Linked DNA regions of Anolis sagrei. The protein of the gene in region 2 interacts with the protein of the main gene of each other region in a biochemical or structural test. Links are inferred from orthologs where the notes say so. Each region holds a gene or a part of one and is shown on either strand. Other genes may lie near its edges. The genes, in order: OCRL and RAB5A.

The links.
Region 1: the proteins of RAB5A (region 2) and OCRL form a complex in vitro, tested with the Homo sapiens proteins (2 studies listed by BioGRID and IntAct, with this or other methods). The link is inferred for Anolis sagrei from reciprocal best matches to the Homo sapiens genes RAB5A and OCRL.

Annotation. Positions count from the first base shown.
Region 1 is NC_090030.1:10,858,685-10,874,819, forward strand, and holds the start of OCRL (inositol polyphosphate 5-phosphatase OCRL), read right to left. Parts: upstream 7,058-16,135; 5' UTR 6,953-7,057; coding exon 6,917-6,952; intron 4,184-6,916; coding exon 4,113-4,183; intron 1-4,112. UniProt on the Homo sapiens protein: Catalyzes the hydrolysis of the 5-position phosphate of phosphatidylinositol 4,5-bisphosphate (PtdIns(4,5)P2) and phosphatidylinositol-3,4,5-bisphosphate (PtdIns(3,4,5)P3), with the greatest catalytic activity towards PtdIns(4,5)P2.
Region 2 is NC_090026.1:87,272,347-87,287,580, forward strand, and holds the start of RAB5A (ras-related protein Rab-5A), read right to left. Parts: upstream 5,790-15,234; 5' UTR 5,574-5,789; intron 1-5,573. UniProt on the Homo sapiens protein: The small GTPases Rab are key regulators of intracellular membrane trafficking, from the formation of transport vesicles to their fusion with membranes.

The DNA.
Region 1 (16,135 bases), on a different chromosome or scaffold from region 2:
ACCGCATTAAGTCCACGAATCCTGATGAATGGATTTTCTTCTACTGTACTTGTACAGCGTCGCCCTTAATGCTTTCATACAGTCGCTACAGGGGTGCGGCCACTGCCATTTTTTGAGCTCCCCCCACAATATGCAGCAACCACAGATTCTCCAATCTGGATTGGAAGTTTCAGCACCCGCTCTATAAGACGACCCCCAGCATATAAGACTACTCCCACATATAAGACGACTCTCATGCATAAGGCTACTCCAGCGTATAAGACGACCCCCCATGTATAAGACTACCCCCGCGTATAAGACAACCCCTGACTTTTGAGAAGATTTTCTTGGGTTAGAAAGTAGCCTTATACACCAGAATATACGGTACTTTATTTCCCATCTAACCACTTGCAACCATCTAGTTTAAAACTATTGGGAAAATTGCTAATGTGGCACTAATTTCAGCTGCATTCTGAAACAGCATGTCTCCAAGTCATGCAGAAGTCGGGAGAGATAATAATAATAACAATAATAAACCTTTATTTATATTCTTCCCTATCTCTTTGGAGAGACTCAGGGAGGATTCCAAACATAAAAGGCAAACATTCAATGCCTGAACATAATAACAATACACCTCATAATAACAAACATTGACAACCTAACATATAAAAGCAAATTGTAATTTAACTAAAATTGAATGAAAAACACAAACTATTATAATATATGATATATATTATCTATAATGTATAATATTATATATTATAGATTGGGACTTCAAACTTTTTAAACAGAGGGCTAGGTCACAGTCCCTCAAACTGTTGGAGGGCGAGATTATAATTTGGGAAAAAAAACATGAATGAATTCCTATGCACACTGAACATACCTTATTTGTAGTGCAAAAAACACTTTAAAACAATACAATAATTAAAATGAAGAACTATTTTAACAAATATAAACTGATGATTATTTCAATGGGAAGTGTGGGCCTGCTTTTGCCTGATGAGATAGGATCGTTGTTGTTGTGTGCTTTCAAGTTGTTTCAGACTTAGATTGACCCTGAGCAAGGCCCAGGTAAATGACCTTGGAGGGCCGTATCCGGCCCCCGGGCCTTAGTTTGAGGACCCCTGTTATAGATGTTCCCTATTGCTCCAGAGGACAGGATTAATGAATGGAAATGGGAGTGAAGCTAGTGTCAGAAACTGTTCATCAGCATGTTGGGTGCAACTAGAGCAGTAGTTACCAAACTGTGTTCTGCGGAACCCTAGGATTCCACAAAATCTTGTTTAAAAATCAGTCTGTGACAGAGTTTGAAGATCTCATTAAAATTCATTGTACCTCTGCTTTAAAAATGAAATTTGAATTTGTGCCACTGAATGACTAAGAGACAAATAGCCCATCAGTAGCTGACAAGGCTATCCATATCCACTGATTGATGCGGACTGGGCTTTTTAGTTTATGCTTACCCAAAAAACAAATATAATAGTAAGCTGGATAATGGTTTCCCTTGATACTAAGTCTAGTCGTGGCTGACTCTGGGGGTGGTGGTGGTGCTCATCTCAATTTCTAAGCCGAAGAGCCGGTGTTGTCTGTAGACACCTCCAAACTCATGTGGCCAGCATGACTGCATGGAGCACCATTACATTTCTGCTGAAGCGGTACCAGAATGCTGAGTCTCAACAGTACCTATTTACTTACTCACATTTGCATGTTTTCGAACTGCTAGATTGGCAGAACCTGAAGCTGGATACCACCCTGGATTTATGCATTCAGCCGTCAGACATAAAGCCCCATTTGAAAACTATCCCAAGTACAGAAATAAAACGATTTTGCTCATCGCTTTAGGTGTAAATCCAATATTTTCTTGTGCCACAATAAATGCTTTTGGTTATATTCAATATTTTCTTGTACCAAAGTTAAAAAAATGCTGTTATATTTAAAATGTTGTATTTTTTATTTCTAAACGGACTATGATATACAAAACACTCAGGCAATAGAAGTAGATGAAAGAAGGAAGAACTTTGTGGGTTCACAGTATTTAGGGACAAAGTTAGGGTTTTGCATGAAAATAAATTATTCTAAAGGGTTCCTTGAATGAAAAAGTTTGGGAACCACTGATCTAGATAGGAGAATTATAGCAACTTAACCATTTTAACTACAACAGTTCACTGCTATGGAATAACAGGAACTGTTAGCTTGTGGGGCCACAGTAGTGCAATGGGTTAAACCGCCAGCTGTAGAAAATCTGCTGACCAGAAGGCTGGCAGTTTGAAGCCACGAGTTGGGGCAAGCTTCCGCTGTTAGACCTAGCTTCTGCCAACCTAGCAGTTCGAAAACCTGTAATGCGAGTAGATCAATAGGCAGGAAGGTAAAAAGTTGCCCCGTGCAGACATGCCGGCAAAACACGACTGGAGATGGAACAACAACACCTCCAGGCACAAGAGATGAAAGGGGAAGGCCTTTACCTTGGTTTGCGTATTGTACGTTATTGTTGTTCACTGGGCAAAAAAAATTTAATGTCTGCCTTATATCTGTATACTGTAATCTACTGAGTCCCTCCAGGGAGATAAAGCAGAATATAAATAAATAATATCATTATTATTCTCTGCCAAATAATGCTTATGACTCAACAAACTATCACTCCCATGTTTCCACAGCATTGAAACATGGCCCTTGCTTGAGCAAAACACAGCTTCCAAAGGATAACATGAGATCACAATTCAAGAAATGGGCGGGAGTAATGTAAACATCACAACACAAGGAAATGTCTTTGCGATGATATAATTGTATGTTGCTACCTCCAAAAGTGACACATAACAACAAATAATGTTTCAGCCAACTTCCTCCTGGAAGAAAGAGTATGATGTATATATGATAGTTGACTTTTGGTCAAGCAAGGGCCACACACTGGATATATAGGGAGCTGTCCAGGCCCTGTCCAGCATGCCATTATTTCAAACCTTCTCAGACCAAGCAAGAGGGAAAATAGAGAGCTGTGGGAAGACTTATTCTTCCAGCTCCGACAATATATGCAAGTGTGTGTGTGGTGACATTATCTGTTATAGAACTCCAGTATGCTGATGACAACGTCATCTGTGTGCATTCAAAAGAAGACCTACAAGCCACTCAACACCTTTGTAGAAGCATACGAGAAGCTCGGCCTGTCATTAAACATCAAGAAAACCAAAGTGCTCTTCCAGCAGTCACCAGCCAATCCCTCTCCAATGCCAAAAATACAGCTTAATGGTGTAACATTAGAAAACGTTGACCATATCTGCTACCTTGGCAGCCATCTCTCCACAAAAGTCAACATTGACACTGAAATTCACCACCGCCTGAGCTCTGCAAGTGCAGCATTTTCTCGAATGAAGCAGAGAGTGTTTGAGGATCGGGACATCCATAGAGATGCCAAGGTGCTTGTTTATAAAGCTATTGTCTCCCAACCCTGCTATACACCTGCGAGACATGAACAGTCTACAGACATCACATGCAACTCCTGGAAAGATTCCACCAGTGCTGCCTCCGAAAAATCCTGCAAATCTCTTGGGAAGACAAACGGACAAATGTCAGCGTGCTGGAAGAAGCAAAGACCACTAGCATTGAAGCGATGGTCCTCTGCCATCAACTCCACTGGACCGGCCATGTTGTCCGGATGCCCAACCACCGCCTCCCAAAGCAGTTGCTCTACTCTGAACTCAAGATTGGAAAATGGAATGTTGGAGGACAGGAAAGGAGATTTAAAGACGGGCTCAAAGCCAACCTTACAAACTCTGGCATAGACACTGAGAACTGGGAAGCCCTGGCCCTTGTACGCTCCAGTTGGAGGTCAGCTGTGACCAGCAGTGCTGTAGAATTCGAAGAGGCACGAATGGAGGGTAAAAGAGGGAAACGTGCCAAGAGGAAGGCGAGTCAAGCCAACCCTGACCAGGACTGCCTTCCACCTGGAAACTTATGCCCTCACTGCGGGAGAAGATGCAGATCAAAAATAGGGCTCCACAGTCACCTATGGACCCACCACCAGGATACTACACTGGGAGGACCATCAACCTCGGACTAAGAGGGATCGGCTAAGTAAGTAAGTAAGTAAGTAAGTAAGGTGACATTATATGTTTCACACTCAAATGGCAACTACTCACTTGTATTCAGAACCAAGCCTTGCCAGACTCAGCTCACATGGCACTCGCCGGCCAGCAGTCACTTCCAGACCCTGAACAACAGCTAAGGAAAAGGAGAGGAGGGGAAAAAAACAGCTCCCAGCCCCCTCCTCCCAAAACAAGCACACATTTTCCTAGCATTGTTGGAAATTCAGTTCAGAATGATACGGCTCTCTCTGCAGCTGCAAAGTTTCAACTAGGCTTTCCTCCTGTATCAAAAACTGCCCCCACCTCCACCCCCCCCCCCCCCAATTTAGGAAAGAGCAAAGATTACAGCTTTGCTCTGAACTGGTTGGAAAGCAAATCCTTCCCATACTCCAGATCCACCAGAGGTAGCAAGCTTGACCTGCTCTGCAGCTGAATATGTAAAAATGCTCCTCATTATCATGATGGGAATAGCAAATTGCCCAGCCAAACACCATCAGGATTTCCATAAAACAGGTTACAGACAAAGCCAAGGAAAATACTCCCACAAGCTAATCTCGTCAAGCCTGCTTTTGAGCATTTAACTAAGATCTGATATACAGAATCAACATTAGCACAAGAACTGCATTTTCTGGATCAGGACAGTGGTCCCCTTTTTCTTGCTCACAAAGGCAACAACGTTCCTCTGTTTGGTAGTTAAAGTACAGTCATAGAATCCTAGATTTGGAAGAGATTTGGAAAATTACTGCTAATGTAATAAAAAATATAACAGAATGGATAATAATAATAATAATAATAATAATAAATAGATTAATACACGGCATAATAAAATAAGTACTGGAAACAATAAAGTAATAAAAGGCATAATAAAATGAATACTATCAAATTGACAAAAAGCATAATAAAAATAATAGTAAAGTAATAAAAAGAATAATAAAAATAAATAATACCAAAGTAACAAAAGCATAACAAAATAAATAATAATAAAGCAATAAAAGGCATAATAAATAATAATAAAATAATAAAAGGCATAAAATAATAATAAAAAGTAATACAAGGCGGAGTAAAATGCACAATAACCAAGTAATACAAGGCAAACAAAATAAGTAAAAATAAAGCAACAATAGAAATAATATAATGAATAATATCAAAGTAATAAAAGGCATAATATAAATAAAATAAATAATAAAAAATGAATAATATTTTTTGTGTGTCAGAAGCTACTTAAGAAACTGCAAGTCGCTTCTGGTGTGAGAGAATTGGCTGTCTGCAAGGACATTGCCCAGGGGATGCCCGGATGTTTTACCATCCTTGTGGGAGGCTTCTCTCATGTTCCCCGCATGGGGAGCTGGACCTGACAGAGGGAGCTCATCCGCACTCTCCTCAGATTCAAACCTACAGCCTGTCAGTATTAGGTTAAAATGTGTAATAATTAAAACTCATAATACGAATAACAAAGTAATACAAGGCATAATAAAATCAACAATAAAGAAATAAAAGGGATATGAAAATCTCTCTCTATATAAATGCTCTGGTCATAATGAGTACCTTAAAAACAAAAGAACCAATGAGCGAAATCACACCAAATTTGGCAACAAAACATCTCACAACACAAGGAGTGACCATCACTCAAAATATTATGATTTTTCCATTTGGGAGTTGTAGTTGCTGGGATTTATAGTTCACCTACAATCAAAGAGCATTCTGAACTCCACCAACGATGGAATTGAACCAAACTTGGTACACAGAACTCCCATGACCAACAGAAAATACTGAAAGTGTTTGGTGGGCATTGACCTTCAGTTTTGGAATTGTAGTTCACCTCCATCCAGAAAACACTGTGGACTCAAACAATGATGGATCTGGATCAAACTTGACAGGAATACTCAATATGCCCAAATGTGAACACAGATGGAGTTTGGGGGAAATAGACCTTGACATTTAGGTGTTGTAGTTACTAGGATCTATAGCTCACCTACAATAAAAGAGCATTCTGAACCCCACCAACGATGGAATTGGGCCAAACATCTCACACAGAACCCCCATGACCAACAGAAAATACTGTGTTTTCTGGTGGTCTTGGGTGATCCTTCTGACACCCCCCTGGTGACCCCCCCTCCCCGGGGACTTGACTTTCCAGGTTCAGAAATGCTGCCTTAAGGCCATCCAGTCCAACTCTCTTCACCAAGGCAAGAAAACATAATCAAAGCCCTCCTGACAAAATGCCATCCAGCCATTCACACACACACACATATATGTATATGACAGATGTAGTATCAAAGATTTGAAAGGGACCCTTAAAGAAGGACTGTGATATGTTGCATGTTCCAGAGTAGGCAAACCAGAAAATCTCCACATCAACACTGACAAAGAAACAGCAAGAAATACTGTTTACCCACAAGCATAAAGACATTGCATATATTAGAAACCAAAACTTTCTCATTACTTTATTTTCCAGATCTACTGAGTGGGCCACAGCAACGCCTGGCAGGGGACCGCTAGTAAATAATAAAATATATAACAATAAAGTAATACAAGGCGTTATAAAGTAAATAATAGTAAAATAAATAATAAAGTAATACAAGGCATAATCAAAATAATAGTAAAATAATACTAGGCATAATAAAATAAATAGTAGGAAAATAATAAAAGACATAATAAAATAAATAATAACAAAGTAATACAAGGCATAAGAAGCTGTCAGAGAAGGATCAGTTACAGATACACATCTCCCCCCCCCCCACCCGCATTGTTTCCCATGGCAACAGAAGCACCAAACAAGCCAGTCCCCACCTCGTTCCAGTTTAACCCCCCAATACTGTCCCCCCCAATCCCCTTTTGCTCCAGGTCAGGAAGGATACAGCAAGGCCGCTCTTCCCGGCCGCGGAGGGCTCCATGGGCCCAGCCAGGCTTCGAGGCCTTAGCAGCTGGAGGCAAGGCGGGCACTGCGGGTTCCTGGCTGGGCCTGGCTTGCCCTCGGGGCGCGCTCCCGACTCCCCGGCCGCGCGCGCGCGCGAGGAAAAAGGAAACGGAAGAGCCTGACAGGAGCAGAGAGAGAAGATGCGACACTGCCCCCTGCCGGCCGGAGGGAAACTGTGTCTAGCACTGCAGAAGCCTATTGGAGAATACAGTTTTCTATCTATCTATCTATCTATCTATCTATCTATCTATCTATCTATCTATCTATCTATCTATCTATCTATCTATCTATCTATCTATCTATCTATCTATCTATCTATCTATCTATCTATCTTTTCTATCTATCTCTCTATCTCTCTATCCATCCATCCATCCATCCATCCATCTATCTATCTATCCATCTATCTCTCTATCTATCTATCTCTCTATCTCTCTATCCATCCATCCATCTATCTATCTATCTATCTATCTATCTATCTATCTATCTATCTATACATCTATCTCTCTATCTATCTCTCTCTCTCTCTATCTATCTATCCATCCATCCATCTCTCTCTCTCTCTCTCTCTATCTATCTCTCTATCTCTCTATCCATCCATCCATCCATCCATCCATCTATCTATCTATCCATCTATCTCTCTCTCTCTCTCTCTCTCTATCTATCCATCTATCTCTCTATCTATCTATCTAGATGCCTTGTATTACTTTACTATTATTCATTTTATTTGGCCTTTTATTATTTGGCTACTATTTATTTTATTATGTTTTGTATTATTTTACTATTATTTTTTATTATGCCTTGTATTACTTTATTAAATATTTTACTGTTACTTGTTTTATAATGCCTTGTATTACTTTGTTGTTATTTATTTTATTATTTCCTTTCAGATCCCTTTTATTATTATTTCTTTTAACCTGCCTTTTGTTGCTTTATTACCTGCGTGACCGTATCGCTGTCTACGAACCCACACGCTCCCTACGGTCATCTGGAGAGGCCCTGCTCGTGATCCCGCCCGCGTCGCTAGCGCGCTTGGTGGGGACGCGAGACAGGGCCTTTTCTGTGGTGGCCCCCCGTCTCTGGAACGCCCTCCCGAAGGATCTCAGACAGGCCCCTACATTGGCAGTCTTCAGGAAGGAATTGAAAACTTGGCTGTTCTGATGTGCCTTCTCAGATTAGGAACCTCCAGTACCAAATCCTAGAAGCACCTTAGTAGAACCAAGATCACTGCACACTGCACACTGCACTTATATTTAATCCCATATCCCTCCTGCCACATCAGCACTTTAACCCTGTACCCCTGTACCCAGCCGGCCCAGTTTTAATAGTGTCTCGTCATATTGTTACTGTTATTGTTTTCCTGCTTAACTGTTTTAATTTGCTTGGTATTGTATTGTTGTATTGTGTTTTTGGGGCTTCGGCCTGTGTAAGCTGCATCGAGTCCCTTGGGAGATGCTAGTGGGGTACAAATAAAGTTATAATAATAATAATAATAATAATAATAATAATAATAATATCTATTTTATTATGCCTTTTATTACTTCATTGCTACTATCATCTATCTATCTATCTATCTATCTATCTATCTATCTGTCAAGATGCCTTGTATTACTTTACTATTATTCATTTTATTATGCCTTTTATTATTTGGCTACTATTTATTTTATTATGTTTTGTATTATTTTACTATTATTTTTATTATGCCTTTTATTACTTTATTATTTATTTTACTATTATTTATTTTATAATGCCTTGTATTACTTTATTGTTATTTATTTTATTATTTATTTTCCTATCCCTTTTATTACTTTATTATTATTTATTTTAATCTGCCTTTTATTGCTTTATTATTAGTATCTATGTTATTATGCCTTTTATTACTTTGTTGTTACTTATTTTATCTATCTATCTATCTATCTAAATAAATATGTAATGCTCGTTTGTGTTTTTTGCTTTTTAAGTCCCTTCTGCTGTGTTTTTCATTGTTTTTATTCGTCCAGTGGTTTTTGAGTTATGTTAATCCCACAAACTAGTATTACATTTTTATTTATATAGAAGACTAGCCATCTCCTGTCATGCGTTGTTGTGGCCCAGTATATGTGCCTTGTGTGTGTACATGAAAAACACAGCAGAAGAGACTTAAAAAGCAAAAATAAAAATGCATTACAATGCATGCACAAAACCATATATATACACACATATATACACAAATACATAAATGTACACCTACACATATAAACACATGTACACACACAAAGCACATATACACAGATTGGGCCACAGCAACGCGCGGCAGGGGATGGCTAGACTTCTATATAAATAAAAATGTAATATTAGTTTGTGGGATTAACATAACTCAAAACCCACTGGACGAATTGGCACCAAATTTGATACGAATGCTTTTGATACGAAATAATAATAACTGTTTTAACATGATGAGATGTATTCCACACTGGGCATGCGAACTCAGCAGCAGAGTAGCCATGCGCAAAGGCAGATGTCTTCACTGTGTCTGGTTGTGATCCCCAGGTTGTGCCAGTCAGCTTTCGTATGATATTATTTCAAGCACCCACTTTTTGCTTGCTAGCCAAGCAGTGCTTCTTGTAAGTCCAGAGTGACTCCCGGGTATTTGGGTGTGCTGCAATGCTCCAGTGGGATTCCTTCTCAGGTCATCCTCAGAGTCCAAGATGCTTGTCTGTTCTTAAGGTGAAAAGCACACGTCTGTGTTTTAGATGGATTAGGAATCCTCTGGTTTTCCCTGTAATAGGCAGTAAGAGCACCTAAAGCTTGAGCGGTGATGGCAAGATCGTCAGCATAGAAGAAACTCTATGTCCCTTCTGGCATTTATCCATTTCTTGCTGTATAATGTTTATCTTTTTATATAATACTAGGCATCCCCTGCCACACATTGCTGTGGCCCAGTCTGGTGATCTGGAAAATAAAGTAATGAGAAAGTGTTGGTTTCTAATATACGCAATGTCTTTCTGCTTGTGGGTAAACAGTATTTCTTGCTGTTTCTTTGTCAGTGTTGATGATTGGTTTGCCTACTCTGGAACATGCAACATATAATTGTCCTTCTTTAGGGATCCCTTTCAAATCTATGATACTATATCTCTCCATGTGTGAATCATATATATCTATCAATATCTATGACTAGATGGCTCTTTGTCAGGAGGGCTTTGATTACGTTTTCTTGCCCTAGTGAAGGGAGTTGGACTGGATGGCCTTAAGTATGGGGGTTATGTGTGGGAAGTTTGCCCCAACTCTGTCGTTGGTGGGGTTCAGCATGCTCTTTGATTGTAGGCGAACTATAAATCCCAGTAACCACAACTCCCAAATGTCAAGGTCTATTTTCCCCAAACTCCATCTGTGTTCATATTTGGGCATATGGAACATTTGTGCCAAAATCCATCATTGTTTGAGTCCATAGTGCTCTCTGGATGTAGGTGAACTACAACTTCCAAACTCAAGGTCAATGCCCACCAAACCCTTCTAGTGTTTTCTGTTGGTCATGGGAGTCCTCTGTGCCATGTTTGGTTAAATTCCATCATTGGTGGAGTACAGAATGCTCTTTGATTGTAAGTAAACTATAAATCCCAGCAACTACAACTCCCAAATGACAAAAATATTTTTTTGTGTGATGGTCACTCCTTGGGTTAGTAGGTATCTTGTGTCCAAATTTGGCAGCAATTCGTCCAGTGGTTTTTGAGTTATGTTAATCCCACAAACAAACATTACGTTTTTATTTATATAGACTAACCGTACCCTGCCAGTCTGTGTATATGTTTTGTGTGTGTGTATGTATGTGTATATATGTGGTTTTGCACACGTGTTGTAATGTATTTTTTATTTTTTGGCTTTTAAAGTTTCTTCCGTGGTGTTTCCCAGTGTTTTTATGAGTCATGGTCATTTGTTGGCCTGAGAGGTGTCTTGTGTCCAAATTTGGTGTCGGTTCGTCCAGTGGTTTTTGAGTTATGTTAATCCCACAAATGAACATTACATTTTTATTTATATAGATCTCTATTTCCAAAGTCTGGAGTGTATAAACTGTACTTTTATTCTACCTTATTCTTAAAATAGAAACTGTCTGCAACTTTGTTTATTAATTATAGTTGGCATAAATGCTCACCAGCCTGTTCCGTCTCAATTTATTGAGGTCTAAGTTCCACGTCATCTGGATTTCAAATGCCTGTGTAGATGGACCTTGAAATAGTATTCTCAGCCATTCCTTCCACTTGCATTTTGCTTTCAAATATAACCCAGGGAACGATCACAGACATCTCAACATTACGCAACATTTCAGGCTGTCTCCCTATGCTCGTCTCTTACAGAAGCAAAGCTCAGGATCCCTAATTCAAAGTGGATGGGATGGCACCTTGGCTTGCATGCAAAGGCACATCTGTCATGCCAGAGTAGCAACGTTTTCTTCTTTTACCACCTTTAAACTTTACAGGAGATGCGATGAATGCCTGACGAATCCTCCAGAGGCGGCTGCCAGGGTTAACATTTTTAATTTCCTGTTTAATTAGAGCTGGTGATGGGTAAACCAGGCGCTCTATCACCAGTGGCGGCGTGTGCTGTAAATTTCGGCTTCATCTCCTCGCTCGAATGACCCTGGAGATTACAACGACATGAATATGAATGAAGTTACTTTATATTTCATCAAGGAGAGAAGCTATCTCTCAAACCAGCATTGCTTGGAGTTTGTTCCTTTGCCTGGAGTTGGGCTTTCTTGAAACCCTTGTGCATTGCGGAAGTTTCCAGGGGATTTTGCACCCAAAAATGTGATTGACTCTGCCACTCTTTTGTGACCCAAGAAGAGTGCATGCATCACATGGCTACAGCTGTCAATTGTGGGTAAAGATCCATAAGAGAAGATTGACATGTTTGCTGTGAGCGAGTCCTTGAGTCCACTTATAAGATCTGCTTGAGGGAAAGCCAACAATGGATTGAGATAGTGTCGTCCTTTGGAACTACAAATCCCATGAGCCAAAGTGAGCTTTCCTAGTGAAGAGGGATGATGAGAATTGGACTGCAAAAGCAAAAGGAACGCTACACTTTACCTGTCCTTGGACTTGAGAAGCTTGACTACCTCAACAACCAGAAAAGTCTGCCATTGACAAAAGCACAGGTATCATCTACTATGGTATTAAGTGTTTAAGCTTGGTGAGAATGATCTTCCCGAGGTTTAAAATTCAGTAGGCAGAGCTGCCTATGGATGCTGTAAAATGGCATTCCCAAAGGACAAGTGATAACGTTGGAGTGGGACTTCAGACCCTTCTACACTGCCATATAAAATCCAAATTATCTGCTTTGAACTTGATTATGGGGCCGTGGTTGTGCAAAAGGGTTACACCCTTGTGCTCCCGAACTGCTGACCTGAAAATTAGCTGAATTGCTGATCTGAAGGTCAGCAGTTCGAATCCGTGAGATGGGGTGAGCTCCTGTCTGTCAGCCCTAGTTCCTGCCAACTTAGCAGTTCGAAAACATACAAATGTGAGTAGATAAATAGGTACTGCTTTGGCAGGAAAAGGCAAAGAGACGCTCCAAGCAATCTTGCCGGACACATGACCAAGAGGTGAAAACGCAAGCTCCTCAGCTTGAAAATGGAGAAAAGCACCTCCCCAGAGCCAGAGATGAGCACCGCCTCCGTAAGCTGGAAATGAAAGGAGAAGCCTTGCCTTTGTTTGTGTTTGTGTGTCTCATGTGATTTTAAAGGCACTGAATGTTTGTAATCCACTCTGAGTCTCTTAGAGGACAAGGGAGTAATATAAATTATTATTATTATTATTATTATTATTATTATTATTATTATTATTAGAAACACAACAAGATGAGTCAACAGCAGACAAGATCACTCTGCTGGCTGTTGTATCAGATCACACGTCGGACACTTCCCAAGTGTCTAGGAAGGTGTGATGTATCAGTGAATAATGTGTGCAGATCCCAGTAAGGTGGCCTTTTGCAGCTGGCAGATGGTAATTTTGTCAGCGCCAATTGTGTTTAAGTGCAGGCCAAGGTCTTTAGACACTGCACCCAGTATGCCGCTCACCACTGGGACCACATGTACTGGCTTGTGCCAGAGTCTTTGCAGTTCAATCTTTAAATCCTCGTATTGTGTCAGCTTTTCCAGTTGTTTCTCTTCAAACCTGCTGTTATCTGGGATTGCAACACCGACAATCCATACTTTGTTTTTTAACACAATCGTGAGGTCAGGAGTATTGTGCTCCAAAACTCTGTCAGTCTGAATTCGGAAGTCCCAAAGTAGTTTGACGTGTTCATTCTCTGTAACTTTTTCTGGCTTGTGATCCCACCAGTTCTTTGTTGCAGGAAGATGGTATTTGTGGCACAAGTTCCAATGAATCATCTGAGCAACGGTGTTATGCCTCTGCTTGTAGTCTGTCTGTGCAATTTTCTTGCAGCAGCTGAGGATATGATCTATTGTTTCATCTGCTTCCTTGCAGAGTCGTCTATTATTATTATTATTATTATTATTATTATTATGTGGCAGTGTAGACTCGTATAATCCAGTTCAAATCAGATAATGTGGGTTATATGATGTCATAATCTGTGTTATATGGCAGTGTGGAAGGGACCTTAGTTGCCAGTTGTGGGCATTGTAAAGGAAGGAAATCCTTATATACCAGGAACTCTCTTCTCGTCATTACAGTTAGCTTGCAGAAGATGGCATCATTTTCATGCGTATCCCTGCCACAATGGGCCGCATAAGTGTAACTTATCCCCACATTTCCTGACCGCTTCAGTTGATTTTTGCCCAGCACTATGTCAAAAGATTGGAAATAGAAGCAGTGATCTGTGATGGGATCTCTCTACTTTAGCATTATTCAAAGAAGCAGCTAGAAATGTCAGTTCTGAGTGAGACCATAAAGTTGAGAAGAGGAGTAAACATTAAATTTAAAAGCATTTTAAACACAAAAAAATAGGGAACAGTGCAGAATCCTTATTTAACAAACCCATATGGCAGATCAAAGGCCAAAGTCCATTTAAGGCCCTTTCTACACTGCCATATAATCCAGATTATCAGAGCAGAAAACCCACATTATATGCTTTGAACTGAATTATATGAGTCTACACTGTCATATAATCCAGTTCAAAGCGGAAAATCTGGATTTTATATGGCAGTGTCAAAGGGGCCTAAAGAAATCTTTCTCAGAGAGAGGATGGACTTGTGAAAGAGATATGTCTCTAATCCACACAAACAATGCACGTTGTTTGATGAGCTTTACATTACAGATTTCACCATTCCTATATAGCAATTAGGGTCTGTAGAAGTGCAGCAGGTTAAACCACTAAGCTGTAGAGCTTGCTGACCAGAAGGTTGTCAATTTGAATCCAGAGAGTGGGGTGAGCTCCCGCTGTTAGCCCCAGCTTCTGCCAACCTAGCAGTTCAAAAACATGCAAATGTGAGTAGATCGATAAGTACTGCCTTGGTGGAAAGGTAACAGCGTTCCATGCAGTTATGTTCGCCACATAACCTAGGAGGTGTCTACGGACAACGCCGGCTCTTCGGCTTAGAAATGGAGCTGAGCACCAGCCCCCCTGAGTTGGAATCGACTAGATTTAATGTCAAGTGGAAAATTTTACCTTTACTTACCTATATAGCAATTGTTTTGTGGAGGTTTATAGTCAACCATCTGGAAATTTCCAAATTGCAAAATATATAAAAAGTCAGTTTAAATAAGCCTTTGGCAAACTGGGGCTACTATATGTCAATGATGTCAGCCATTGTAACATTGTCCTAATTTTCCCCCCTCAAAGCTATCTAATGATTTAACACTTTATTTAATGGATTACACGCCTCCCCTTATAATGATTGTGTAAACTGCATTAGACTGCCTAATCTTGACAAATTAGGCTTTTTGCAATGATGCTCCAAGCCCTGCAAAAACGTAAGTCCCATGCTCAACGGTGCTGAGAGCTGCTTAGTAGTCCAACATAAGTAATAGTGGCACCATGGGTGCACCTGCACTGTAGAATTAATGCAGTTTAATATCACTTTTAACTGCCATGGCTCAATTCTATGGAATGATGAGAGTTGTACACTGGTGCCTCAGTAAGCTACACATCCCAGGATTCCATAACATTGAGCCATAGCAATTAAAATGATGCCAAATAGCATTAATTCTGCAATGCCCCCATTCACCTTTTAGCATAAGTAACTTTTCTAAGAAGTTTGCAATTTCTGCTCCGACTATGATTGGTTCCATCGAAGTTCTTTCTCAAAGGCCAGGAATGGGTCTTTTCTGAACGGAGCTCTGGTTTGCTCTTGGCTGTCTTTCTTTCTTATTCATCCAGCATCTTTTTGTCTTTTAATTACATCTCACTAAAACCGCCTGCTCCAGATACTTAAAAGAGGTGGGATCCAATTAAATTTATGGAGCTTTAACACGGCTTTTTTGTGTCAGCCAATGGTTCAGGCTGGACAGGGAGTTGGCTTTTGTGGATATGCTTAAGGACTTTTATGGCAAGTGTCTAGACACGGCCTTGGCTCATAAATGTCTCTAATGTTCGGTATGAGAGAAGCATCTGCCGAGACACTCTGGAACAGGTGCGCCATGCATTCTGAGTTTGCACAAAATGAGTTTTCTTTGCCATGCATACACAAACACTCCCCCTTACACAATCCAGGCAATAGAATTACAGGGCAGGGAGTATCTCCAAAGTCTGCTAGCATATCTATGGATGCGTCAGCCCCAACACAGGGAAAACATCAAATACATACAAAAAGAGGATGAAGAAATAGACAGATGCATAATGAGATGCCAGGAGGACCAGCTGCTCTATTCACTTTGGTGCAAAATGCTCCCCAACCACTTCTACAATTAACCAAGGCTCTTGGCTCAAGATGTAATGTTCACCATGAGGTTTTGATCACCATCAACCTGCCTCGTAAACATCTACAAGGACAGTGAGGTATAGAAAAGGCTTGTCACAATAAAGTGTCCAATAATGGCATCCTACATGGTGCCTTTGGATGAACCAATAGATTAGTCTCAAAAGTTAACTAGTTAAGCAGAAACCAGGCACCCTCAGGATGGGTGAGACTACAACTTCAACCAGCCTAATTATTATATTGGAGAGGCTTAGCAGAAGTATAGTCTAACATACTTTGAGCAGCTGCAGGTTGGAGGAATCTGTATTG
Region 2 (15,234 bases):
AGATAAAACAGAGACACAGACTTTAAAGGTCCTAATCTCAAATTGAACACATGTCAACCATAATGCTGTGTTCACAGCTTGAGAGTGCTCCTGGATCTGATTCTCCAAATGTCAGCCCAGGTAGATGTCAGGAGTTCTTATAACCAGCTTTTACTGATATTCCAACTGTGCCCCTTCCTAAAATTAGAAGACCTAAAGATGGTAGTGCACACATTGGCAACCTCAAGTTTGGACTTCTGTGATGCTCTGTACATTAGACTACCTCTCTACCATGCAGAGTTAGTTCAAAACATGTCTGTCAGATTGACTTTGAGTACATCTAGGAGTGAGCATATTACACCTATACTAAAATCATTCCACTGCTGGCCAATTGGTTCCTGGGAAAATACAAAGTGTTGGTTTTGATGTTTAAAGCCTACATTGTTTGGGTCCAGGCTACCTACTGGATTGCCTTCTTTTGTACAATTCACCACAGACACTTAGATCCTCAGGGGGATATTTACACCAACCAGCCAGAACCTGAATGAGAACTGTCACCCTGAGAACAATTTCATCAGCTGCTCCAAGACTGTTGGAGGACCTGTCAAAAGTGATTTGATAGCAAAACAAGATCTCAAAATTTAAGACGTAATTAAAGACCTATCTCTTCTGGTAGGCCTACTGATTCAATTGTAATCAATCTGAAATTTATATTTTGTTAGTATTGGTATTTTAATCTTTGTTCTTTTTTTTACTATATCTAGTTTATGTTGTATCTATGTACTTTAACAATGTTGTACCCCACCTTTAGTAATGAGGGAGTAAATAGCCAATACAATTTCTTATTATTCCAGATGTTTATAGATTATAACCATCATCACACTAGAGAAAAAATCCACTTAAAATCTGGTTTCTGCCTCCTGCAGAATTCTGGGGTTTGTAGTTTAGGGAGGAGCCTTTAACAGCTGCACTAAACTACAAACCCAAGAATTCTGCAGGAGGCAGAAACTAGATTTTAAGTGGATTTTTTCTCTAGTGTGATGAAGTGGCATGTCTCTCGGCCACTCTGTACAGCACAGTTGTTGACAAAGGATTCTGGCATCTGTAGATCTGGATTTTGAAAACTAAGGATTCTCCTTGATCCAGATGAACCAATTAGCCTGTTCACAAAAAAATAAAGCAGCAACAGAATTACTACCACTTACACCTCCTTTAAGTGCAGTCCCTCTGCAAAAAGAAAAGAGTTGTGTCTGAAACTTGAACTTTCTGGTATAGGTTCTAGGATACCCAATATACTTTTTAGTAATTTAAGAACAAAATACAAGATTCTTGGTTGCTTTAGACCAATGGTTCCCAACCTATGGGTTGCTATCCCAAATGGGGTCACAAGTAGTTTTTAATAAGGTGAGCTATGAAAATTTTAAAAAGGCAAAACAATAAATAATGTCATTGTCTCCTGCACTGAGATTTGTTTGCGTAAACATGTAATGATCTTTCATTTGTCAGGTTAGCCTGTTGTGAGGTCCAGATTCCTATGTAATTAACACTATTTTGAATTCTATTATACTGAAAAATCATGCCACCATCTCCTCAAAGGGACTCGGGGCAGCTCACAAAAGCACTCAAAAGTGCAACACACATAAAACACAATAGTACATGAGCCTATAAGACAATAACAGTGTAAATTTACATAACAATTTTACATAAATATCATATAAGTGGCTGCGGATATAAAATAGGATATATTCAAGTATCAATCCCATAAAGTGCAAACAAAGTGAAACAAAATACCTCGAATTTAAGTTAAGATTCTAATCATGGTTGAAGGCCTGTTAGAAAAGCCATGTTTTCAGATTTCAACTTGGGAGCTAACCTAATCCCTTTCGGGAGGGCATTCCAAAGCCGGAGTACCACCACCAGGAAGGCTCCCCTTTTCATCCCCACCAATCGCGTTTGAGACGGAGGTGAGACCAAGGGGAGGGCCTCCCTGGTAGATATTAGAGCCCGTGCCAGTTCATGGAGGAGTTGCAGCCTTGAAGACAAGTTGCACTTGAAGCGTATAGGGCTTTATAGATAATAACCTGTACTTTGAATTGGGCCCAGAAACTTATTGGCAGCCACTGCTTTAATAGGGAGATCGTATGCTCCCTATGCCTAGTCCTAGTTAGCAATCTGACTGCCGACCTTTGCACTAACCGCAGTTTACAATCCGTCTTCAAAGGCAGCCCCACGTAGAGTGCACTGCAGTAGTCCATTCTAGATGTAACTAAGGTGTAGATCAGTGGCCAAGTCAGTCTTTTCGAGGTACGGTCACAGCTGGCGCACCAGTTTTAACTGTGCTTAGGCCCTACCAGTCACCGCCGACACCTTCAAGCATCAGCACTGAATCCAGAAGAACCCCCAGACTGCGGACCTGTGTCCTCAGGGGGAGTGTAACGCCATCAAGTTCAGACTGCCATCCTATAACCCAATTGTCCTCGTGACTGACTAGGAGAACCTGTCTTGTCTGGATTAAGCCTCAGCTTGTTGGCCCTCATTCAGTCCATCAGAGCTGCCAGGCACCAGTCCATGATCTGTGGAGATTCCTTGGAATGGGGTGGAAAAGAGCAGTAGAGTTGTGTGTCATCTGTGTAGAGATGACATTCAACTCCAAAATTCCAGATGACCTCGCCCAGCAGTTTCATGTAAATGTAGGAAAGCATGGGGGAAAGAATAGAACATTGCAGTAATACCTAGGTGGGGAAATGACAGCGATGGCAGCACTGGCAAGAGGTGGCAGTTGCCTTTCCCTTTTTGTGGAATGACTCGTGACTTATCCATGGGTCATATCGAAATCCATAATTCTGGTGCCAAACCTACCCTCAATTTATAACTGAGGTTGACTTATACATGAACATATACAGTACGTTCACGTGACTTACTGTTTTTATTTACAAGTGAAGTCATAGCCCGGGTGATAATGTCCTTATTGAACAAATTTGTTAAATTTAAATTACTGACTTAATGGTTTTAGCAGACTAATACATTAACCATATTTACTCAGAAATGTTAAGTTTCACTACAATTAAAATCATTTGATTTACAAGACAATGTGCATTCCAATTCACATCAGCTTTTGGATACTTTACAGATAATTGTTTATTCAACAGCAAATTATGTCATATATATGCATCATTTTTAGGAACAATATGACTGCTGGACAAAATCAAAGTAATAGACTAAAACCACAAAGTGGCTTTGAAAGGTAAAAAGTCCTATTTAATCAATTTTAACTAAGCAAATAGAATCTATAATACAGCACTGATGGATCAATTCAGGGAAATTCTGAAGTAATAGGGACTAAAAATTAATTCCTAAGTAGTTTTGCTTTTATTCAACTAATAAATGGCAGCAAATGTGTAAAAACAGAAATGAGCATATTTTAATTTTTTTTAAAAAAAAATCCGAACAAACCAAACACTTTAAGGAACAAAAATATAAATGTGAAAATCATATTTAGAAGATAAAAAACATCCAACATTGCCTTTTTGCATTTCTACAGATTTGAATGATGGACTATTTCAACTGTGTATGTGACCCTGTGAATTTCATAGGATTTTCCTAGGCAATGATTTTATTTGCTAGTTCCTTTCCTAAAATATTGCCTGTAGAACCTAGGTATTTGTTGTTGATCTCTCCTCCAAGTATGAAGTAGAGCTGTCCTTGCTCACCTTCTAACATAAGATACAAAGTGGAACTAGATCTGGTGTACAGCAAGATATAGATTTAACTCTGCCCTTGGAGGCATGAGTTCAGAAGTAGCAAAAAGTCATCCTACAATTTGGTACTCTCGATAAAGAAACACACTAGTTATAGAAGAGACAGTACAATCCAGAAGCAATGATAACCCTATGGCAGAATGCAATTACTTCATTTGTATACCACTTTTCTCACTCGTGGGGGACTCAAAGCGATTTACAACATATATACAGCAAAATTCAATGTCTCACATACATAAAAACCTAACATAAAACAGTAATAACATGCATAATTAATTTCTTTACATAATTAAATATAAAAACGCAATAACTTTTAAACATGGAGTTTAAAACATATTAATATTAAAATCACACAATCCAACAATCCTAGCCCATGGGCGATCCAAATATCCATATCTATTGCACATGACTCTGATCATTCCTCGTATTGCTTACTGCCTAAAAAACCACTGAAGAATGGGTTTTGATTCAAAGCTACCAATTAAACCTCATGAACTCTCTGAAAATGCATTTTTCATGTTCAGAGTTACAGTATGATGTCAACTCTTTTATACCAAATCCTGAAAGAATCCCTAGACCAGAGCTTTCCAAACTCTGAGTTGAGACACATTAGTGTGCCAGCTGCAGCATGTGGATGTGTTTGGTGAACGTAAGAAGAAACCTCTGAATCTATGTGACATGAGCAATAAATCATATATTTTTTAAACAAGAAATGACATGTTGTCATAAGATATGCTGCGTTCCCACACATTTCATAATTACAATGTATGCATGTGTCAATATCCCTTATCAGGGGTTTGCTAGTAAAACTGAATTATTTATTTATTTATTTATTTCGGTTGCTTCTACCCTGCCCTTCTCACCGCGGAGGGGACTCAGGGCAGCTTACAAAAGCAAGGCACAATTTGATGCCCGCATCACATAACAACAATAAGACAAATAACATCAGTTAACAGAAAACAACAATTCTAGCAATAACATCAATTAACAGAAAACAATAATTATTGTAAGGCAAAAACAACCATAAAAGCAATAAAACCAATACAAACCATTTCTCCTCATTACTGACAAGTCTCTAAAAAGTGTGGCACCAACATCAAAATGTTTGGAAAGCTCTGCTGTAAACTTTTACATTTAAACACAAGTCCTGCCTAAACACATGCCCTATTTCCACCGATGTTTCATTCCACGGAGCCTCACATGCCTTTCCTGGCCCTCGGTTTACAGAAGCCTAAAATAGGAGGCCTGAAAGGAAAGTGGATCTCTTGTCTCTGGGGTCTCCTGGGGCCCTTCCACACAGCCCTATAGCTCAGAATATCAAGGCAGAAAACCCCACAATATCTGCTTTGAACTAGGTTATCTGAGCCCACACTGCCATCTATTCCAGTTCAAAGCAGATAATGTGGGATTTTCTGCCTTGACATTCTGGGATATAAGGCTGTGTGGAAGGGCCCCCGGAAACTGACAGCCCCCTTTGACCTCCTTCTTTGGAGAAAGGAGAGTCAAGCTTAGGGAGGGTGAGAGGAAGGAAGGAAGGAAGGAGGAAATTGCCGCCGTCCCCTTCCTGGCCCTCGCCTGGGCCCCAAACCCAGGCTTCGCTGGCCCCCCTCAACCCAGCGGCGGCCCCGCCTCGCTCGCCGACACGGGAAGAAGAGGAAGTGGGAGAATTCGGGGCGCCATTTTGAGGGTGGAAAGGAAGCCGGCCCATGGCCCACTTAGCCGTGGCCGACGCCGCACCCTCCGCGGAAAAGAGCAGGCGGGAGCCGAGGGCCCCGCTCGCCCGCCCGCTTCCCAAAGGCCTATCCCAGTCCCCTCTCTCCCGCCTCCTCTCGATACCTGACTGCGAGGGGAAACGGCCACTTCCTCTCCCGGAAGGAGCGAAGAAAGAAGCCCCCGCGGCTCGTCTGCTCCGGTCGGGGAAGAGGGAGCGGGCCTTTGCCGAACCTCACGGGGGGGAGGGGGGAAAGAACGCGGCCTCCAACTTCCGTCTTTGCCTCCTCCTCCTCCTCTTCCCAGACCAAAACACAATCACGTCACTTCCGGCGCCGCCGCCTCTCGCCACGTCACCGTGCCCGCCTTCGAACACTTCCGCTTCGAACGCGGTCACGTGTCCTCAGGCCGTTGTTTGCCCGAAGGAGCGCCCGGCTCGCGCTACGGATTGTGGGATGGCTGGGCGGGGCCCAAAGGGAGGCAACGCTTGAGTCTGGAGTGCGGTCGCTTCCCGTCTCAACCTCTTCCCCCTCCCTTTGGGATTTCGGAGCCGGTCTCCTCTTAAAGGGCCCGCACTTCCGAGTGCCGGCCTTTGAAGTGCAGTCATTCCTCACCCGCGTCTACAGTGTAGAATTAAATGCAGTTTGATGCCGCTATAACTGCCATGGCTCAATGCTATGGAAATTATGGGAATTGCAGATTTACAAGGTCTCTAACTTTCTCCAAAGAGTAGAGACATCACACTAGCAACAAAGATCCGCATAGTCAAAGCCATGGTATTTATTTATTATTTCTTTATTTACGGCATTTATATGCCGCCCTTCTCATCCCGAAGGGGACTCAGAGCGGCTTACAAGGTATATATACATGCAATATATTATATTATTAGCATAGTACAATATCAGTATATATTACTATATTGCACTATACCATTATATTGTAATATTATTAATGTATTCCCTGTAGTAACCTACGGATGTGAGAGCTAGACCTTAGGGAAGGCTGAGCGAAGGAAGATTGATGCTTTCGAACTGTGGTGTTGGAGGAAAGTTTTGAGAGTGCCTTGGACTGCGAGAAGATCCAACCAGTCCATCCTCCAGGAAATAAAGCCCGACTGCTCATTGGAGGGAAGGATACTAGAGACAAAGTTGAAGTACTTTGGCACATCATGAGGAGACAGCAAAGCCTAGAGAAGACAATTATGATGGGGAAAATGGAAGGCAAAAGGAAGAGGGGCCGACCAAGGGCAAGATGGATGGATGGCATCCTTGAAGTGACTGGACTGACCTTGAAGGAGCTGGGGGTGGTGATGGCCGACAGGGAGCTATGGCGTGGGCTAGTCCATGAGGTCACGAAGAGTTGGAGACGACTGAACGAATGAACAACAAAGCTTTCTCCAAGGTGTACTGCTGCTTCGCTATTTATTTATTTATTTGCTAGCCGCCCCCAGCCATGCGTTGCTGTGGCCCAGTCTGTATGTGTTTTGTGTGTGTATGTGTGTGTGTGTGTGTGTGTGTATATATATATATATGAGAGATTAAAAGATGGGCTCAAAGCCAACCTTAAAAACTCTGGTATAGACACTGAGAACTGGGAAGCCCTGGCCCTTGAGCACCCCAGCTGGAGGTCAGCTGTGAACAGCAGTGCTGCAGAATTTGAAGAGGCACAAATGGAGGGCAAAAGAGAAAAACGTGCCAAGAGGAAGGCGCGTCAAGCCAACCCCGACTGGGACCACCTCCCACCTGGAAACCGATGCCCTCACTGCGGGAGAAGATGCAGATCAACAATAGGGCTCCACAGCCACCTACGAATCCACCCCCCTCCGGTTACCACTCTTGGAGGACCACCACCCTCGGACTACGAGGGATCGCCTAACACAACACTGTATATATCTGTGTTTGTATATATATATGTGTGGTTTTGTGCATGTGTTGTAATGCAATTTTTTTGGGGGGGGGTTGGCTTTTTAAATCCCTTCTGCTGTGTTTTTCAGTGTTTTTATGAGTGATGGTCACTTGCTGGCCTGATAGGTATATTGTGTCCAAATTTGGTGTCAATTGGTCCCGTGGTTTTTGAGTTATGTTAATCCTACAAACGAACATTACATTTTTATTTTTCGGACATTTATAAACCGTCCTATCTCGATCTCCACAGAGGGACTCTGGGCAGCTGACTACAAAAGCATAAATATACATCTTCGGTAAAAACAGTATAAAACATAAAAACATCATAAAAAACAGTAAAACATTAGAACAATAATCCACCACAGTCCATTAAACCATAGCTCAACTATCACGTCGGTCTAGTCTGCAAAGGCCTGATCAGATAGCAAGGATTTCACCTTTCTCCGAAAGGTCAGGAGGAAAGGAGCGGATCTGATTTCACTTGGGAGGGAATTCCATAGCCGAGGGGCCACCACAGAGAAGGCCCTGTCTCTTGTCCCCACCAAACACGATTGCAATGGTGGGGGAACAGCAAGCAGGGCCTCCCCGGACAATCTTAAGGTCCTAGGTGGTTCGTAGCAGGAGATATGTTCGGACAGGTAAACTGGGCCAGAACCTTTAAGGGCTTTATAGGCCAACGCCAGCACTAAACCGCAATGGCTTCATATGGAGGCAGCATTCAAAGACATCCATGAGGGACTGATGCTGGATCCACTGCATTAGATTGTCAGTTTAAGTCCAAATTGATTCAAAGTGCTGACCCTTCCACTCAGCCATATAACCCAGAATATCAAGGCAGATGATCCACATTATCTGGTTTGAACTGGATTAGAGTCGACCTTGCCATATAATCCTTTTCATTGTGGATTTTATACAGCTGTGTAGAAGTGGGCATTAGATGATACAGGAGGGTTCTTCCTGACAGGCCCTATATCCCAGGATTTTATCCTAGGTTTTCTGCTTTAAACTGGATTATATGAGTGCACTGCCAGATAATCTGGGAAAAACAGAAAACCTGGGATCAGATCCTGGGATAGGGGGCCATTCCACACAGCCCTATATTCCAGAATATCAAGGCAGGAAATCCCAAAACATCTGCTTTGAACTGGGTTATCTGAGTCCACACAGCCATATATTCCAGTTCAAAGCAGATAATGAGGGATTTTATTCAGCTGTGTGGAAGAGGCCTTGGTCTACTTTCTCAGATGCATAGGATGAAGTATCTTTTATCATAGATTACAATATATTTCTTCCAGGGCCCTTCCACACAGCCCTATAACCCAGAATATCAAGGTGGAAAATCCCACATTAACTGAGTGTGTATTTAAATAACCCAGGGCCTGTCCAGACAAGGCCTTTATTGCAAGAACTCCCGAAATAAAGGCGGGGCTGTTCAGACAATGATCTGGACAGTCCCACATTATTTCACTACAAACCAGGAAAATCCTGTTTTGTAATGAATTAATTTGATAGTGGATTTATTCGCTCCCCTCTCCCTTTCTTGGCGCGCTATTTCTATGTGCCGGGAGAGCCCGCCGGGGCTTCAAATGGAGGGCACTTAAGTTTTTCTTAGTTTTCTAAGGAGTCTGGGGGCTTGGTGGAGGGAGGTAGGGCCTCCACATGTTCTCTCGGGCTAGTCCTGAGATAGCGTGTGAACAACCAACTCCAGAAAGTGCGTTCTTTCGGGGGGGGGGGGGGTTATGGACAGGCCCCCAGAAATATCAGTGTTATTTTAACGCGGATGCTTCTGGAACAAGGACCTGTCTGGAATCTGTTGTTTTAGAAAATGTGTTCTAATCCATAAAGGCAAGTGCTAAATATTTCCTTGATGTAAATGCTGGTGTTAGTTTCAACTAAGTAGATCCATTGGGACAGTGAGACAAGTATGAAGTCAAGTACTGATGTAACTTTTAGAAGTTGATTAAAAGAGTCTACTTCATTTTAGGTCAGAAATTACATTTGGTCTTTCATGTTATGGGCCATTGTTAAGATCATACATATCTTCTGATAGTTCCAGTAATTTTGACATGTGTAAAGTTGTTGACCTATTTATTTTTCTGCTTTTGAAAAGTGAAGACATCTTTAAGTACCTCAAAACAGTGTGTGTGTATGTGTATCTATCTAAATGAAAATGTCATGTTTATTTGTGGGATTAACATAACTCAAAAACCACTGGGCAAATTGATACCAAATTTGGACACAACACACCTATCAGGCCAACAAGTGACCATCACTCATAAAAACACTGGAAAATACAATGGAAGAGACTTGAAAATCCAAAAAAGAAAAAAAATGCATTACAACACATGCGTATAACCACATATATACACATATACACAAATATATAAACACATACACACACACACAAAACACATATACACAGACTGGGCCACAGCAGGGGTTAGCTAGTATATGTGTGTGTGTATACATATCTTATAACTAGATTCAATGTATATTTCAACTAATGTATTCAATGAGATACTTATAATTGATGTTATTTTTCTAACTTCTGACATCTATACCATCTCTGTCATCTTGTTTTTAAATTGCATGTATCTCAATCAATCATAGAATCATAGAGTTGGAAGAGAACACAAGGGACATCCAGTCCAACTCCCATGAAATATAATTTCCATGAAAGGCATATTTTATCTATATGCATTACAAATAATCTCAAATAATACCGCCATTTAACTTAAATTCTTACATTTGGTCCTGCCACTGATTTTAATTGCGTCATTGTGTGTTTTTAATGTTATTGCTTTGTTTTTGAGTTATTTTGCTGTTGTTGTTATTGTTTTTACTATTGTATTTGGGCTCAGCCTCTTGTAAGCCGCACCGAGTCCTTCGGGAGATGGTAGCGGGGTACAAATAAAGGTTTATTATTATTATTATTATTATTATTATTATTTGCATTTTGCATTGTTACAATCCAATTTGTCCTTGGATGTTGGTATATACACAGCATACTAGATATTTTCTTCACTGTTTGTTTCATAGCAACACATTAAATTCCCAATACTGATTGCAGAGGAGAGGAAGAAATTAATAACAAACTAGTTAACTCAGTGATATACTTCCTGTAAGCAATTAACATAGCAATTAACAACCAACATAGTGACGCATAGCCTTTGCGGTAACATTCGGTTGGAATTGTGCCATTTATATTACTGTAGTAACTATAATTAAAATGATATCATCTTCGAATAAAAATATACCCATGGCAGTTTTTTAAAGTAAACATGTCGAGCCTAAACTGAAGGTGACTTTGTAACACTTTGACATGGAAGCAAATGTTGTTATATTTATCAAGATCGAGCAAGAAGATGGAAAGAAAGAAAAGCTAACAACTCAGTGCAAAAGATAAAGAGCTGAGCAATGGACTAGATATGAGATGGCTGTGGAAGTAGCTTGGCAGGCAAAACAGGAATTACCTGCTCAACACTGCACTATCACATTCATCAATGCATTATTATTATTATTAGAAACAATGTGTAGAGTAAACCAGATGAAGCAGAAGCTTTACATTGTGAAAAAAATAATGACTTAATGACACCTTAGTTCCTTGATTGGATAATGTTATTTAGAAATATTTAATGCTGCTTAATGGAGAATAAATTGTTGTTATACATTTATAGTCAGTCACACATTCTGTGGATTAGAATATAGGTGTGGATTCCCACTTACTAACCTACTGTGGAATGATGAGTGTCAGAAGATGGGGCCATCTTCGTTCCTCTTCATGGTTCCAGGCTTTGGCCTGGAATCTAGTCCTGAGCTGCGTTTACATGGTAGAATGAATATGGTTCCACATAAAATAAACTGCCATACCTCAATGCTCTGGAATCATGGAGTTGTAGTTTTTCTACCAAAGAATGTTGGCACTTCACCACATTTCAGCTTTCATGATTCTACAGAATTGAGCCATGGCACTTAAAGTGATGTGAAACTGCATTAATTCTATAGTGTAGTCCTCTTCCTCTTTTCCTGCACAGACCCCAAGGCTTCAAGATCCAACTGGCACTTTTAAATGCCTGTCAAGAATGTATGGCTTCAGTATGACTTACACACTGGCTATGTGAAACATGTGAAATTCACTCAGGGCTCTTCTACACAAGCCCTAAAACCTGAGAGAAACTGGGATAAGGTGTGTGTGTGTTAGATGACGCTTCCCCAAATTTTGCCCTGAATCGCATCATCGGCTGAAAAACATGGGTTAAGAATTAGATGCGCTTAAAATCCGAGATTGCTCCCAAAATGTGCATATTCCCATTACTATATATCCCTGCACTCAAGTGAAACATGGAATTTCATTGCGAACTGTTCCAGCACATGTGAACTGTTCCGGCACATGTGCACATTTTAAAATCCTGAAACAGCTGATGAGGGCTGTAAGCAGATGGAGCCATGGACACACAGTGGCTAAATGGAAAGCGATTCCCATGAGAACTCTCTGCAACCATTCTTTTGTTCTCATATTTATGATATTAAACAGAGTTTGAATTTACACAGCGCTTTTTGAAACAAAAGTTTCTCATGAGGCCCCAAAAACATTTATATACATATTATGTTATATTCTATATTATATATCATGTGTATATATCAGGCATGGACAAACTTTTTGATATATTGTGTTTTAAATTTTGACAGATGGGTCAGGTCAGTGGCAAATGGATAGAAAGTGTTTGTGTGATAAAGATGGCATGGATATTTAATATATGAAAAAAAATTAATTGTCTCTAATTTTAAGAGCCACCTGCTATACCCTATACAGAATATGGAAAAAGTACAAATCAAGACCTCCGTGGACATTTACCAAAGAAGCCCCCCCCCCCATTGGACAGAAATGGGGGGAGGCCAATGGCCCATCTATAAACAGGTATTGCTGTATTTACTCTAATGCAATGCACATCTTTTTTGGCTTAATTGTTTAGCCAAAATAGAGATGCACATTACATTTGATGGCGCATTACAGCTGCATGCCAAAAGGTGCCTGTGTCCCTCCATCAGGCTGAACCTAGCAAACTCGCCAGTCTCAACCTGATGGTGGAGCAGCTGCTTCCCTCCCCAAGACCGTTCTCCTTCACCTCTCAGCTGAGAGACGGAGGAATGCCTCCCCCTTCTCTCCCCAAGACCATTTTCCTTCACCTCTCAGCTGAGAGACAGAGGAATAGCCTCATTTTCCTCCCCAAGTCCATTCTTCTTTGCCTCTCAGCTGGCATTGCCTTCATAAAGTCGAGGCTGGTCAACGTTCTAGCCTCTACCTGGCAGAAGATAACTGCTTTTCCTTCCTTCTTTAGCAAATTCTTCTTCTTCTTTTTTTTTTTTTACAACGCAGTAGACTCGAGTAAATACAATAATTGGACAACTATAAACATAGGGACTGCTTAGCTATGAACTTTGGATCAGTGGGACGATCTTTAAAAAATAAAATAAAATGGAATATACAGTGATGTGCTTCCCAGTGCAGTGCTACTCAAACTAATGGTCCCTGGAAAAAAATAATTTTCTAACTCACGGCCCTTCCACACAGCCATATAACCTAGAATATCAAGGCAGATAATCCACAATATCTGTTTTGAACCGGGATATCTGAATCCACACTGCCATATAACCCAGTTCAAAGCAGATAATGTGGAATTTTATACAGCTGTGTGGAAGGGGCCTGAGAAGCACTGTGCCAATGTATAATATTGGTTAATATATTTTCATCTGAATTCAAAACATTTTTAGATATAGATTTGAATGATCTGACGTCAGCTTCTTTACTATTCCTTTTCCCAATTAGAACCTCACTTTCAATGCCCGTAGCTCGTAAAGTCCAACTTGGCCATGGTGGTCCATGCCCTAGTTATCTCCAGATTGGATTATTGCAATGCAGTCTCTGTGGGGCTGCCCCTGAAGACGGTCCGGAAATTGCAATTGGTGCAAAGATCAGTGGCCAGATTACTAACTGGAGCAAACTCCAGGGAGCGGTAAATCCTTCTGTTCAAACAGCTCCACTGGCTACCAATGAGTTTCCGGTCCCAATTCAAGGTGCAGGTGATTACCTACAAAGCCCTAAATGGTTCAGGCCCTGTCTATCTTTGCAACTGCATCTTCCCCTACGAACTAACCTGAGCCCTAAGATCATCCAGGGAGGCCCTTCTCTCACTTCCGCCTGTCTCAAGCGCGATTGGTGGGGACGAGGAAGAGGGCCTTCTCAGTGGTTCCTCTGTAACTCTCTTCCTATGGAGATCAGACTGGCACCTAATCTGTCCACCTTTCGCAAGAACCTAAAAACATGGATGTTCCACTGTGCCTTTGACTAGGCAGTTCCAAAGAATTGGCCCAATGTTACCTAAGTTTCAGCACTTTAGCATGGCCCTCCGCTCTACAATCCTGACATTTTCATGCCCGTGAACATTATCCTCCCAGCCCTGCCTTTCTGAATTTTGCACTTTCCCTCAGCTCTATCTAGGAATTTCCACAAACCCAGAGCCCTTTGAACTCAGCACTTTTATTGTTCTGTATGGTACTGTTTTTATGATGTTATGTTTTATTGTGATATGTTTTCATTTGGTTTTGTTTTGATGCTATCTTATTGTGTTATGTTTTTAACTTTGTGCTCCCTGGGCTTGTCCCTTTATAAGCTGCTCCGAGTCCCTTAGGAGAGATGTAGGCAGGGTATAAAAATAACGTTATTATTATTATTAACAATATTTTCTAATACAAGCTGAGCATCTGTGATCTGGAATTCTGAACTCCAAAATAGTGCATAGAGATTACTGAGATAGTGGCACCCTTGTTTTCTGATAGTTCAATGCACACAGATTTTGTTTCATGCATAGAATTATTAAAACTATTGTGTATAAAATCACCTTCAGACTAAGTGTATATGATGCATATGAAACAAATGAATTTCATGTTTAGACTTGAATTTCATCTCCCAGATAGATTATTCTGTACATATGTGCTAATAGAGCCCAAAATCAGGGGGAATCCTAAATCCCAAACACTTTTGATCCCATTTCATTTCAGATAATGGATTACTCAACCTTACTTGTTTCATTTATGTTCAGTATTTTCATGAGAAGTTTGCAGAAAATGAGGCCATCTAGTGGAGAGAAGATATGTTGAAACATAACATAGGTCCAGACAAGCTGAAACGCAAAGTAGATTATGTAGTGTGATAGAGCTCTAAGCTCAGTATTACCTATGAAAAAAATGTTTTGGCAGAAGTTGTGGAATGTTATTTCCCCATGTGGCAATTTTCCGAGACCAAACCTATAGGGAAGAAGTTATTTAGTGCGCATCGTTGTAGTAAGCAATTCGGTCCAAAATCAGTGGGGGTTATCTTATACTGAGTTGTAAGAATATAATAAGATCTCCTAGTCCCTTTTTTGTGAACTACCACCCTCCAAAATCAAAACTGGGGTTTTGTTCTTGGAGACCTATACAAGTTTCAGTTGGTACCCTGCCTGAAATTTCCAGCCTGAAATCAAGTCTTTCTCTCAGCCCGAAATTAGAAGTGAATGTCCAGTGATTTTCTGTTTCAAACTCTACATTTTGATTCTGCATAGATTTTAGGGAGACAAGGTACAATTCGTGTGGATACAGGATGCAAATTGGGCTACCAGTCCTACAAAAGCTGATTACCCTTTAGGAAAAGACTTTACATTATTCATTTTTTTTTTAAAAAAAAGATGTTACTTGACTGAATTATTTGGTGATCATCTAGAACAGTGGTTCTCAACCTTCCTAATTCTGCAACCTCTTGACACAGTTCTTCATGTTGTGGTGATCCCCCCAACCATAAAATTATTTTTGTTCCTACTTCATAACAGTAATTTTGCTATGACACG